Linked DNA regions of Saccharomyces cerevisiae S288C. Changing the gene in region 2 together with the main gene of any one other region gives a genetic interaction. Each region holds a gene or a part of one and is shown on either strand. Other genes may lie near its edges.

Region 1 (4,180 bases), on a different chromosome or scaffold from region 2:
TTCTCTTGAAAGGACAACTGAGATAAAGTGGACCCTATCTTGATTATCAAATCCAAACTTTTACCCACACATTTATCACTTACGACCTTCTCAGCACAAAACTGACTTAATAGTTCCAATAAAATGGGCAAGAACTTCTTTTGCAATAATGCTGGCGGAAACTCTGGCAGCAGATTCACGAGACCCTCTAAGAATACGTATTTTTCTTCGTTATTTTTGGTAGGTAAATCGTCTAAAAAATTCAAGGTTTTGACTAACGGATCTTGGAAAAACTCAGAATCTAAAATCAACGTTATGTTATCATATCTGGAATAGATGTCTCTGTTTATTAGCTTGGGTATACAATGCCTCAACTTTTGTGGAACCTTACTGAATATATTATCCCATGACATTGTACTAATTTTGCTTTCAAACTTGTTGTACTCCAATTTATATTCACTAGTCGAATTTTCGCTGCGAAACAAGTCTTTACCAGTGTACAGAAAATATATCAACAATCCTAAAGAAAAATAATCGTTCTTAAAGGTTAGGGTATTCTCAAAAACAATTTCTGGGGCCGTATAATTCAATTGTAAATGCATAAATGGGGGAACTCTGGGATCATATTGAGGTAAGAAGTATTCAGAGGTATTTGTGCCTGGTGGTATTTTTACTAAATAGCCTAAGCCGGAAATTTTCCAATCAGAATTTTCATTGATAAATATTGCCCTAGGTTGAATGTTCAAGTGTACAAAGCTTGCGCGGTTATGAACAAAATCGAGTGCATTTACCAGTTGCAATATACCTCGCTGTACCACGATATTATCTTTAACATGACCTTGTAAGAAATTCTGCTCTTCATCATCGGTTTCTCTGAAAACGGTCTCCAATGAGCTAGTGACAAACTCGGTGACGAACATGAAATTCTTGCTATGTTCTTCTAATGGTTCAATTAAAGTCAGAATATTTGGGTGCTTGAGCTTGGCCAAGTTATTGGCCTGGTTTCTTAATATTTCGTACGCTTCTTGTATTAATACTTTATCTCTGGATCCAGATTTGGATTTAATAATACCATAGTGTAACAAATAGTTTTCGAACTGCTTCTTGTCAAACATGAATATCGATACTTTGGAAGGTGAAGATGAAGATGAAGATTTGGGACGACCGGTGTAAATGCTCCATGGTTCAGCTGTGAAAGTAGGTGATGATGAAAATGAATATTTTGACGTGATACCCGTCTTTGAGGACCAAAACATCATCCCTGCTCAATCAAAGTGTGTCCTATTTTCCTTAATGATACGATATTCGAAGTTACACTGTTTTGAATACTTTTGTGCGCTTTAATATGTGCAAGATTTATTTGTTTTGATATTAACTTCTTTTTGGCTTCTATTTTTTCAAGACTGCAGTACCCTTTTTTTCACGCAACTTCAGGTTCGAACCGAAGAATAGTTTAATTACGTTTAGTTTTCCTACTGAAACTTTTTTTTTAAAAGACCCTGAGAATTTCATCTCGAGAATAATGAAGACCAATATATAAGTAATGAATCATAAAAGTACAAGAGCAGGATCAAAGTTGAATGTCTCAACAACAGGACAAGAAAATGAGTGAAGAAGGAGCATATGTACGGGTGAGCATTTTTCTTGTATAAACATAAACTAGCTGAACATCAGCTCAATCGGACATAAAAATAAGTTTCCAATTAGACATGCACTTGAACTTGTAATTATTTATCGACCAAAAAGAGTAAGTTAATTTTCACATAATCTTGGAAAAGCCAGAAACAAGATTCGAGAGCTGGAGAATGGATGATGAATCAAGCAATGTTGAACAATCAAAATAATATAGGGTGTATAGGTGTTCACGTATTTCTCTTTATGTTTAGTGGGTGTGCCAAAAAGGACACTGAAAGGGTAAGAATAATAACTTAGCATATTGCTTTCGATATATAGATGTTAATCATACAAAGGCAAAAACAAAGCGTGAATCAGCATTTGTTAACAGACAATTGCAAGAAATGTCGCTGATCAGCATCCTGTCTCCCCTAATTACTTCCGAGGGCTTAGATTCAAGAATCAAACCTTCACCAAAAAAGGATGCCTCTACTACCACTAAGCCATCACTATGGAAAACTACTGAGTTCAAATTCTACTACATTGCATTTCTGGTCGTGGTTCCCTTGATGTTCTATGCTGGGTTACAAGCTAGTTCGCCCGAAAATCCAAACTATGCAAGATACGAACGTCTCCTATCTCAAGGTTGGTTATTTGGCAGAAAAGTAGACAATAGTGATTCTCAATATAGGTTTTTCAGGGACAATTTTGCGCTATTGTCAGTTTTAATGCTAGTCCACACTTCTATAAAACGCATTGTACTTTATTCAACAAATATCACTAAATTGAGGTTTGATCTGATATTTGGTTTGATCTTTTTAGTGGCCGCTCATGGTGTCAATTCGATAAGAATTTTAGCCCATATGCTAATTTTATATGCCATCGCCCATGTACTAAAGAACTTTAGAAGAATAGCCACCATCAGCATTTGGATTTATGGTATTTCTACGCTTTTTATTAACGACAACTTCAGAGCATATCCATTTGGTAATATTTGCTCTTTTTTAAGCCCATTGGACCATTGGTATAGAGGTATCATTCCAAGATGGGATGTCTTTTTCAATTTTACTCTTTTGAGAGTCTTAAGTTACAACTTGGACTTCTTAGAGAGGTGGGAGAATTTACAAAAGAAGAAAAGTCCATCCTATGAATCAAAAGAAGCTAAATCAGCCATTTTGCTCAATGAACGTGCTAGATTAACTGCTGCACACCCCATACAGGACTACAGCTTAATGAATTATATTGCATATGTTACTTACACGCCACTTTTCATTGCCGGCCCCATTATAACATTCAATGATTATGTTTACCAATCGAAACATACCTTGCCATCAATAAATTTCAAATTCATTTTTTACTATGCGGTGAGATTCGTTATTGCTCTCTTATCTATGGAGTTCATTTTACACTTTCTCCACGTTGTGGCAATCTCAAAAACCAAAGCGTGGGAAAATGACACACCTTTCCAGATTTCCATGATTGGCTTATTTAATTTGAATATTATTTGGCTAAAACTACTGATTCCGTGGAGGCTGTTTAGGCTGTGGGCTTTGCTAGACGGAATCGATACACCTGAAAATATGATCAGGTGTGTTGATAACAATTACAGTTCACTAGCATTCTGGAGAGCTTGGCATAGAAGCTACAATAAGTGGGTTGTCCGTTACATATATATTCCTCTAGGTGGTTCAAAAAATAGAGTTTTGACATCACTAGCAGTCTTTTCCTTCGTAGCTATATGGCATGACATCGAACTAAAGTTATTATTATGGGGTTGGCTAATAGTTTTGTTCCTCTTACCAGAAATTTTTGCTACCCAAATTTTCTCTCATTATACCGACGCAGTCTGGTACAGACACGTTTGCGCTGTCGGTGCTGTTTTCAACATATGGGTTATGATGATCGCTAATCTTTTTGGATTCTGCTTGGGCTCTGACGGTACTAAAAAATTACTAAGCGATATGTTCTGTACCGTATCTGGTTTCAAATTTGTAATTTTGGCAAGCGTTAGTTTATTCATCGCAGTACAAATAATGTTTGAAATCAGAGAAGAAGAAAAGAGGCACGGAATTTACCTAAAATGCTGAATGCCAAATTTACGAATATCAATTGTATAACACTGCTATCATGTATGTATTTTTATCTACTAGTACAAAAATGAAACCGAAAATAAATAAAAAAATATCGAGAGGAAGCGTGAAAAGCTAATGAACATATAATATGAAAATCTGCAGTATGATGGATAAAAATCCTCTCGAAAACTCAAATACGTTTTTTATATTCACCAGGCGTTTCAAATTTATTCTGGATCCACAGTCCCTTTTTTCTAGATCTTGCCAAAAATTCATAATATCGATACTTATCTTCTCTATCATCAAATTCTGTGTTTACTTTACCCTCATAAACAACCGCTAATCCATCCTTGAGCATTTCTAAGCTTAAGTCTTTCCACCCACCAAACCAGTCCCAGTATGACACTCGAGCTACACAACGGTTGTACTGATCTATAGATAAAGGCTTGACCCATACTTTCTTTCCCAAAATTCGGTTTTGTAACCAAATTAAAGCTTCATTACCAAACGGTTGA
Region 2 (8,148 bases):
TGGATACCAATTTAAGTGTTATAGATGAAAAATTGACCCCGTTTGAGGGAGTCGGTGCATTGAGGGCCATTCATTTACGATTGCTCACTGAACGGACAACTGATCTGCTGCAATCATCTTCTCTATATAATGATGATCCCCACTTTACCGCAAATACAGATTCACTATTACAAATTTTTGATATATTTTCAAACCTGAGCAAAATACCATTTTCAAGTGAAGTCATATTTTCTACAATGCGTGAAAAGGCAGCTAATATAGCGACGATGAAAATGGATTCCACAGATCTGATCTTATTGCCATTAAAAGGGGCCTCGTATGAGTATAGAGGGAGCCCAGTCTTCATTGATGAAAAATACGCAAACTTTGATCACATTTATTCTCATCTCCTAGGTCTGAATGAACTATCATCTACTTTCTTCAAGTCTATTTTCCAGTCACTCAAGGCAAATTTTGCCGTTCAAATTTCAAATACCTATGGCAGATTAAATGCTGATCGCTTTAAGAGGAAACGGTTCAATTTATTACTTCCAAAACCATACCTGACACAATCCGATTATCTTGGACTATATCTTCTCTTATTGATATGCTATAGAGATGGCTATAATAATGATAATGCATCCTGTAGTATATTTATTAACAGCAAGAATATTGATTTCGCAAAAGATTTGTCAACTGCATTTGCTGAGCATGACTGGCTAAACGAATCTACCATTAAAATTGTGGATATCCCCTTTGAAACGAAAGTTCCAGAAGAAGCAATTGAAAAGCCGTCCTTTATAGAGACTGTGCTTGATGTTGGTTTATCAGATACTGCTTTAGCTGATATAGAGGAGACTACCTTTATTATTGGAGAGGACCTTCCTGATGAAAGTGAGCCCTTCAGCGAAGAGGTGAGGACTGTAATATTTGAAGGGTCGAATCGTCGTTTTGACACCCTTATTGTGCACCATTTTTCGTCTGAATAAGTATCAGCAGAAATTTTTTAATTTTCTTTGTTCTTAATTTTCAGTCATTCCGTCATTCCGTCATCTATGTTTATTGTTCTATATTATTACGTATGCATAAATATCTTAAGTATAGATCGATCCTAATAGCTATTCAGTTTTATTCTCCTGAGAGGTTATCCTTAATTTTGAAGAGTTTAACTTATCATTTGACTTTATAAACTTCGCGAGTCTGGTAGATTTGAAATTGAATGTTTCATTTACTTCACTAAAAGGATGAGAAAGAAGCTCGTTAGCGGTTGGCCTTTTCTCTGGATTTATCTCGAAGCATGCGTCCAGAAAATTTCGTCCGATTTGCGATATCAATGGTAAAGTGTCCTCAGGAATTGGTGGTGCCGATTTTGACTTTCCAATTTTGAACATGGCTGCGACGACTTCTAAGTTGGACCACGGGCGCTTACCAGCAAACATTTCCAGAACGATGCATCCCAGAGACCATATATCAACTTTTGCACTGTAGCCTTGCTTTGTATCAACCATTTCAGGAGCCATCCAGAAGACTGTTCCTCGCATGGTCATATCCGAATTAGAGTATATGTCCTTTGATTTTCTTGAAATTCCGAAGTCACTGATTTTGCAGATACCATCTTGATCCAAAAGTAAGTTGTCTGCCTTCATATCCCTGTGGAGAATACCTTTCGAGTGTAGGTATGCCAATCCTTTTAATACTTGTGTTGTTAAATGTTTGATCAACGGTTCATCGAATCTTCCATACATTCTAATCAAGGATCCCACGGAGCCACCAGCAACATATTCTAAAAACAAACTGTAAATATTGTTTTTATTCTCAAAACCTAAGTATTGAACAATATTAAGATGATCTAAATCTTTTAACGTGGACACTTCAGATCTTAATGCTTCCACGGTACTTAGAATGGCTTCATTTTGTGAGCTATACTTGGGGACCTCAACCTGCTTAACGGCCATCATCTCACCTGTAGTAACGTTTAAACATAAATAAACAGCACCGAAAGATCCCTTCCCTATCATTTCACCCTTCATCCAGGCGAATTCCTTATACTCACCTTTCGAATTTTTGGCTTTATTAATTGACACCATATGGTTTTCGGTCACTTCGACCATTCTTGTACCCCACATTTTGGTGTTCTGTCTTTTTAGTTTTACAGAGTTTTTTCTTGCTAAACTAGCTTCATGTGCAATGGTTCTTATGGTTTTTGTTCTTTTAGGTGTCTTAGCTTGATTCAATGGTTTATTTTTACCGTTAAGTCCATCCTGTATGAACTCGTATGAGCTATCAGGAGGGACGGGACGGGAAGGAGTGCTTGGCTCAGTTCTCGATGAAGCCACATTCTTTGGTGAAAGTAGGCTGTCTAAGGATTTCGGAGATGTTGGTGAAGCTATTCCTTCAGTGATTGGCTTATCTAAGTTAGCCCTTGGGAAGAATTTCTCTAAATTTTGATAAACGACCTCCGGAGATGGTCTAAAGGTCATCTTTCTCTCCATTTTGTCCTGCGTTTGAGAATCATAGAATATTTCGTCAGAATGCGTAGAACTGTTATCGCTTTTCTCATCCTTTTTGTTTTCATTATTAGTCTCAGGAGCTGTTTTTTTCTTGGACCAGATAATGTCATCGGATGAACTAGAATCGTCATCACTATCATCGCTGTCAAACATCGGCGGAGCATCCGCGAATGTTATGTCATTCTCTTCAAATATATCGGCCGCAGATGTCGACGAAACAACTCTTTTTGAGTTACCTCTTTTTAACAATGGTGAAGGAGAATAGAAAATTGAATTTGAAGTCGATACAGTTGAATTTGAGCGATTCACTTTCTGTTTCATTTTCAAAGATGGGGAAGTACTCGTCGAGTCCTGGTCTGTTTTCAACCTACGCATAACATCGTTTGCACCCTTATAAGGTTGCGGTATCAAAACATGAGTCGAAGCAGGAGTATATGAGGAAGTAAGCGAATCAGGAGACGAGCTGCTAGCTTCTATAGGAGATGATAATAATTGTGGCGGCAATGGTTTCGATCTTTTGCTTCTCGAAATTTTTGTACTTGCCCTCACTAGGCGGATCGGTTTATTCTGTTTAGAAGTTGATAAGGTCCTCTGAGGAGAAGTATTTGCGGGAGGCTTGGGAGCTTCTCTTTTTGGTGCCAGTTCTGGTTTTGTATAAGGCGATTCCCTACGATGATTGAAATCAATTTCAGTCCCCTCATCTTTTCTTAGCACTTGAAAACTACTCTTGCTTTCATTTTCTGTTATGGGGGTAGGAATATTTAATTTACTTCCTTTATCTGGTAGGTTGAGTTCTAATTTTGGACTTGTTTTAAAAACCATTTTTGGTGCATTTTCCTCATGAGAAAGAACTTCTTTAATATTCCAATAATTCAATTCTTCAGTTGGATTAGTATTGGAAACTCTGTCATAGTAATAACTCGGGGTTTGGGGGTACCTGCGCCCACTTCCTGATGCATGTTCATCAAATGATGTTATGTCAGAAGACGAAGTGACAATGGAAACATCATCTGTCGATGCTATCAGACTGCTTGTTCCGGACCTCATTGAACTCTTACTTTTCACCGATTTTAAAGGAACATTGTTTTCTGAGGTGAGAGGAGCAGGTTTCGGTTTTTGTTGAAGCTTCATTTGGTCTTTGATATAAATTTTTCCAGAAGTGTTCAAAAACAAGCTTTTTTTCAAAAATTCCAAAGTATCATCTGGAATTGCAGCACCAATATCGCAATCAAAGTCTGTCATATGGAAAGTGACATTTTTGTGATTGATTCCCAATTTTGTGAGAGCAGATTCTTTGAAACTGGATAATTTTGCTACACTTTTTAAGTTTAGCGGAACAAAACTAACATTATCTTTGGTAACCAGAATATATTTATTCTCACTATCATTTAACCCTGTTTTCTTCAGAGGATAAAATTTTTGGTCCAGTAAAAAGTTCTTTACACTATACTTTTGATTATTTACCGGCACTGGAACTGTCTTGTCTGGATTAATACAATCAGGATACGTTTCTTTAAAAGACGCCGTGGTTGAAGAAATTTTAGGTGTATCTTCTGTGCTGATGACCTCCAAACTTCTGTTTGCAGTTTTGGGTATTGGCGGTGGTGATGAAGATGGAGATGGTATATTTACATCTGCCGTTTGTACGGTTAAGGTAGCAGTACTCGAATTCGATTTTAAGGATGGAGTTTCTTGAGACGTTACATAAGCTACCGTATTTGGGCTAGGAACCCCTATTTGGCTCTTTCTTTTGAATTTATTCCATAAATTACCTTTATCATCCGAAGTGGGTAGTGAAGATTGTTTTAAAGGTGAAGACACATTAGTTTCATAGTGTTTAGATTTTCCTTTAGCTAAATTTTCACTAGACAGACTATGACCTTGTGGATTAGGCTTTGTTGGAGCTTCCTCGCCTATTCCACTACCAAAAAGGGAATTTAATAATGACGACTCAGATGAACTACTTTTGTGATGTCTTCTAAATATGCTAGGATACGAAGGAGATGCAGGTGGGCTCGCCGATTTGGTAAGTGTACTGTTAGATTCAATAATTGAGTGCGGCCGAGCCGGTATACTTAACTTGATGTTTGAAGGTGATTTTGCTGAGGAAGCATTGCTCGATGATGAGCCTCTTAGGGATATAAAACTTCTTCTGTATAGTGAACTTGCGCTTTTGGTTTTTTGGTGTGTTGAAGTAGAATGTAAAAAATTCTTTTCATCGGTCTTGGAAGGGCCCGATTTTGTTGGGCTCAATGCAGATTCTGACGTTGATCTAGAATTTGAAATATCCTCTTGCGATTTACTATTTTTTAATTTTGATTTGATCGATTCGCTGGAAGACCTGGAACTTTTAAGTTTGCTAGCGCTCTTCTGACGAATATGGCTATTTGTTACGTTCTTGGTCATTGTTTTTTTCAATAACTGCTGAAACCTGGTATATGAAGCAGTTTTAGTCTGCGGCAAATACTTTTCATAAACAGCGAAATTATCATATGCAAGCAACTTTATAAATCTGTGACCAAACAATTGATGCTTTTTGAAAAACAATATCCAGGATTCTGGAAAATCATGAAATTTAAACCATGAGGTGACGCGATGCATTGTCCATTCATCAGGGTCTGTAGGATCCCACGATAGAATTAGCTTGTCAAAGGACAAACTATTTACGCTATTGCCACCGGAGGATTTCCTCGAATCAGAGAGGCTACTAGGTCCATTGTCATTTTTATAAGAACTGTTTGTAAAGCTCGTTGGGTTTTCAAGCGTTCCAGCTGAGATGTGGTCATCTGTCGTCCAATTAAAGGATTGTTCGATAACTGGCGTGCTTTCGTAAAACTGAGAAGAGGTAGAGTTGGGGGTTAGGTTGGGAAATTGGCTTCTAATATCATCATAAATGCTTTTGCGAGATGTTGCACGAGGGCTTTTGCTTGAACTTTTGGTTGATGCTACCGAACTAGTCGGCTGATGGCCGAATTTCACAGATGAGTTCGAATCAGACCTAGAATGTGTATGTGCTGTCCCCGCTATTTTCCTCAAAAAGGGCATTTGGAGGTGGAGTTGAACTATTTTAATACTATATTTAGTGTTTCGTACTAATGGTCACCCCTCTGCCCTTGTTTTTTTATTTTTTTTTTTGGTGAATCCATTACCTGATTTTATTATTATGCTTACTTTTAATTAACTTGTTGAAATTTCATAGCATTATAACTTAGAAGACGCGTCGGTCTGGAATTGAATGGCCATTGGGGCCGAAGAAAGTGTGTCAAATTTTATTGTTATTTACATGATTTTATACGTATGCGTATATGTACATATCCCTAAAATTCAGTTCATACTCAGTTCTGATATTCTTAAGATTGTCAAATCACCTTTACTCTTTGCATGACGGACCCGTCTATTTCTTCTCTTCGTTACCTCCCTAGTTTGGAAAGCCCTTTTAGTTTTCCCAACAACGGTTGCTTTTAAAGTATACAGAGAAGTATTGATTGGATGACCAACTAGCTTGTAGTTTCTAGATCCTAAAGTTGTTACATCGGTCATGTTTAAAATGTCACCCACCTCCGCTTGCTTCAATTTGAATGGAAGAATAACTCTGTCGCCCTCGGTCACCAAATATGGACGATTATGAATCTTGAATATTGCATATAGTTCATTTGATAATTTTAGTGGAGTTGTATCTGTCTTAGTAGTCTTAGCTTTTGTACTACTGATGCTTGAGGAAGTAGCTAAATTTCTGAATGGATGACTGGTAAATGGCCTATAAATAGGTGTGATTCTGGCCACTGGCCATATGAATTTCAGTTGTAGCATGAAAATTAGAGCAACACACTTAAGATTGTCTCGGCACAGTTGTTTCAGTAGGCTGTGAAGGTCGACTCCGAGTGAGCTTCGACATCTTTCTAAGAGTTCTCTAATTCGGCTACCCTTCGCAATTTTGCTCAATATAAAGCCCGTGCACCGCAAGATACTAGTGATTATGGTTAAGAGCGTTGAAGCCATTTCAATGTGAAGGCTAATATTCTTATAAAAAATACAGAAGAATTTATCTAAAGAATTCAAATTAGTTTCTTCCCGAAAGAGGATCTTAAACTTTTCATGACTTTCTTTCTCTGTGCTACCATGTGTAGGAAGAGCATTGGGAAGCCTGGGATATAAGCGAGCATGGCCGCTATTAAAATTCTTTTGTAAAGTAAAGAATACTGAGATTCAGCTGCATTTAAAGCACAGTAAATAATGCGTAGTTCGCTGGCAACACCAGTGGGGTACAAAATCCAGAACAAATTATATCTTAATAGAATTAAGATCTTTGGTGCGCCATTCTTGAATACCAACATGAAAAAATAATACAAGTATCTGACGATCTCAGTTATAGACCATGCCAGTAATAATGATATGTAAACAACTGATTGAACACCACTTGTGTTTGGCAACAATTGGAAGATGCCGAGGACAACTAGTAGTCTTGAAGACACTTGTGCAACAGTGGTCAGCAATGGGGAACGTACAACTCCTAAAAATGAGTTTATGATCTCGATTATAGCACCACATTGAACAAGGGTAGCGACATTTTTAGTTTGGTAGAAGAATGCTGGCTGTCCAACTTTTGGGTACAAGGAGATGACCAAGTAAAGCAAATAAGACCAACCAACAGCAGAAAGCAAATTATAAAGGGGTAAGAAGGACAATGGTGACGCAAGTTTTTTTGACATATTGTAGAAATTGCTTGGAGTTGTGCTTCTTCTTGTGTGATGATGAGTTATTTTGTATTTTGGATGCTCTTGATGGACCAATTCTGAGTTCGAATAAATTCAACAGAATTTCGAAAAAAAGTACACGAAAAAGAAAACGCCTTTTTCCTTTTTGAATACTAAACAATCGAAGTAAGTTATCAAACGGGCAAAGTCGCAATAAGGCACTAGACAGCATATGTAGTCCAAACGATTGTGAGTTAGGAAATACATGTGTTATTGTATAATTATTATTCTTATTATTATTGTTATTAATATTAGAATTATTAGAATTATTTAATTAGTATTATTTCCTAGTCCCTGTAATGCTCTGAATTAAATTTTACAACGCCCATTAATCGCGCCTGTTCTTCTTCATCCCATGATATCTTGTCCTTACTTTTGGATCTACACAATGCATATGCGGCGGAATCAGCATAATCCAAACTGTCTTCGTCTTCACAGTTATCATACTCTTCATCACTGTCATCGCTCAGTTCATCGTATTCATCTATGTCGTAGTCATGGCCTTCCGCGCTTAATATTTCGTCTTTATGACCTCCAAATTCATCGGTGGGGCTATGAAGTTCAAACTGGTGTTGAAACATAGGTGAATTCATGCCATTTTTTGATGGAGAAGCACGCTTGGGTATAGAATTAGAAGGTGATGACTCCCAGCCGTCACTAAGTTCATTGCTAAATTGAAATACACTTTCTTCCTTAGCATTAACTGTATTATTTGGTATTGTTTCAGATTTGCATGCATCCGTAAAACTTCGCTTAAGCTTCAATGGTATCTTATGATCGCGATTCACTTCACCTGGAACTTGTTCCGTGGCGTCAGAATCAGGATTGAAGTTTAATCTTGTTTTTGTACCATCTTCGTTAACGTACTCATAGTAAAGCTGCTCTTGGTCACGTTTGCCTTCTGA

The links.
Region 1: mutations in BCK1 (region 2) and GUP1 together harm fitness more than expected from each alone (negative genetic interaction), as found in Saccharomyces cerevisiae (5 studies listed by BioGRID).

Annotation. Positions count from the first base shown.
Region 1 is NC_001139.9:350,116-354,295, reverse strand, and holds GUP1 (O-acyltransferase), read left to right. Parts: upstream 1-1,997; coding exon 1,998-3,680; downstream 3,681-4,180. Other genes in the region: SCY1 (Scy1p), read right to left, coding at 1-1,238; LCL3 (Lcl3p), read right to left, coding at 3,856-4,180. UniProt on the Saccharomyces cerevisiae protein: Membrane-bound O-acyltransferase involved in the remodeling of glycosylphosphatidylinositol (GPI) anchors. Acts only on GPI-anchored proteins, but not on free GPI lipids.
Region 2 is NC_001142.9:244,641-252,788, reverse strand, and holds BCK1 (mitogen-activated protein kinase kinase kinase BCK1), read right to left. Parts: upstream 5,535-8,148; coding exon 1,098-5,534; downstream 1-1,097. Other genes in the region: KHA1 (Kha1p), read left to right, coding at 1-968; mitochondrial 54S ribosomal protein bL21m MRPL49, read right to left, coding at 5,814-6,299; enoyl-CoA hydratase PHS1, read right to left, coding at 6,545-7,198; SAP185 (Sap185p), read right to left, coding at 7,531-8,148. UniProt on the Saccharomyces cerevisiae protein: Serine/threonine protein kinase involved in a signal transduction pathway that plays a role in yeast cell morphogenesis and cell growth. This pathway seems to start by SMP3; then involve the kinase PKC1 that may act on this kinase.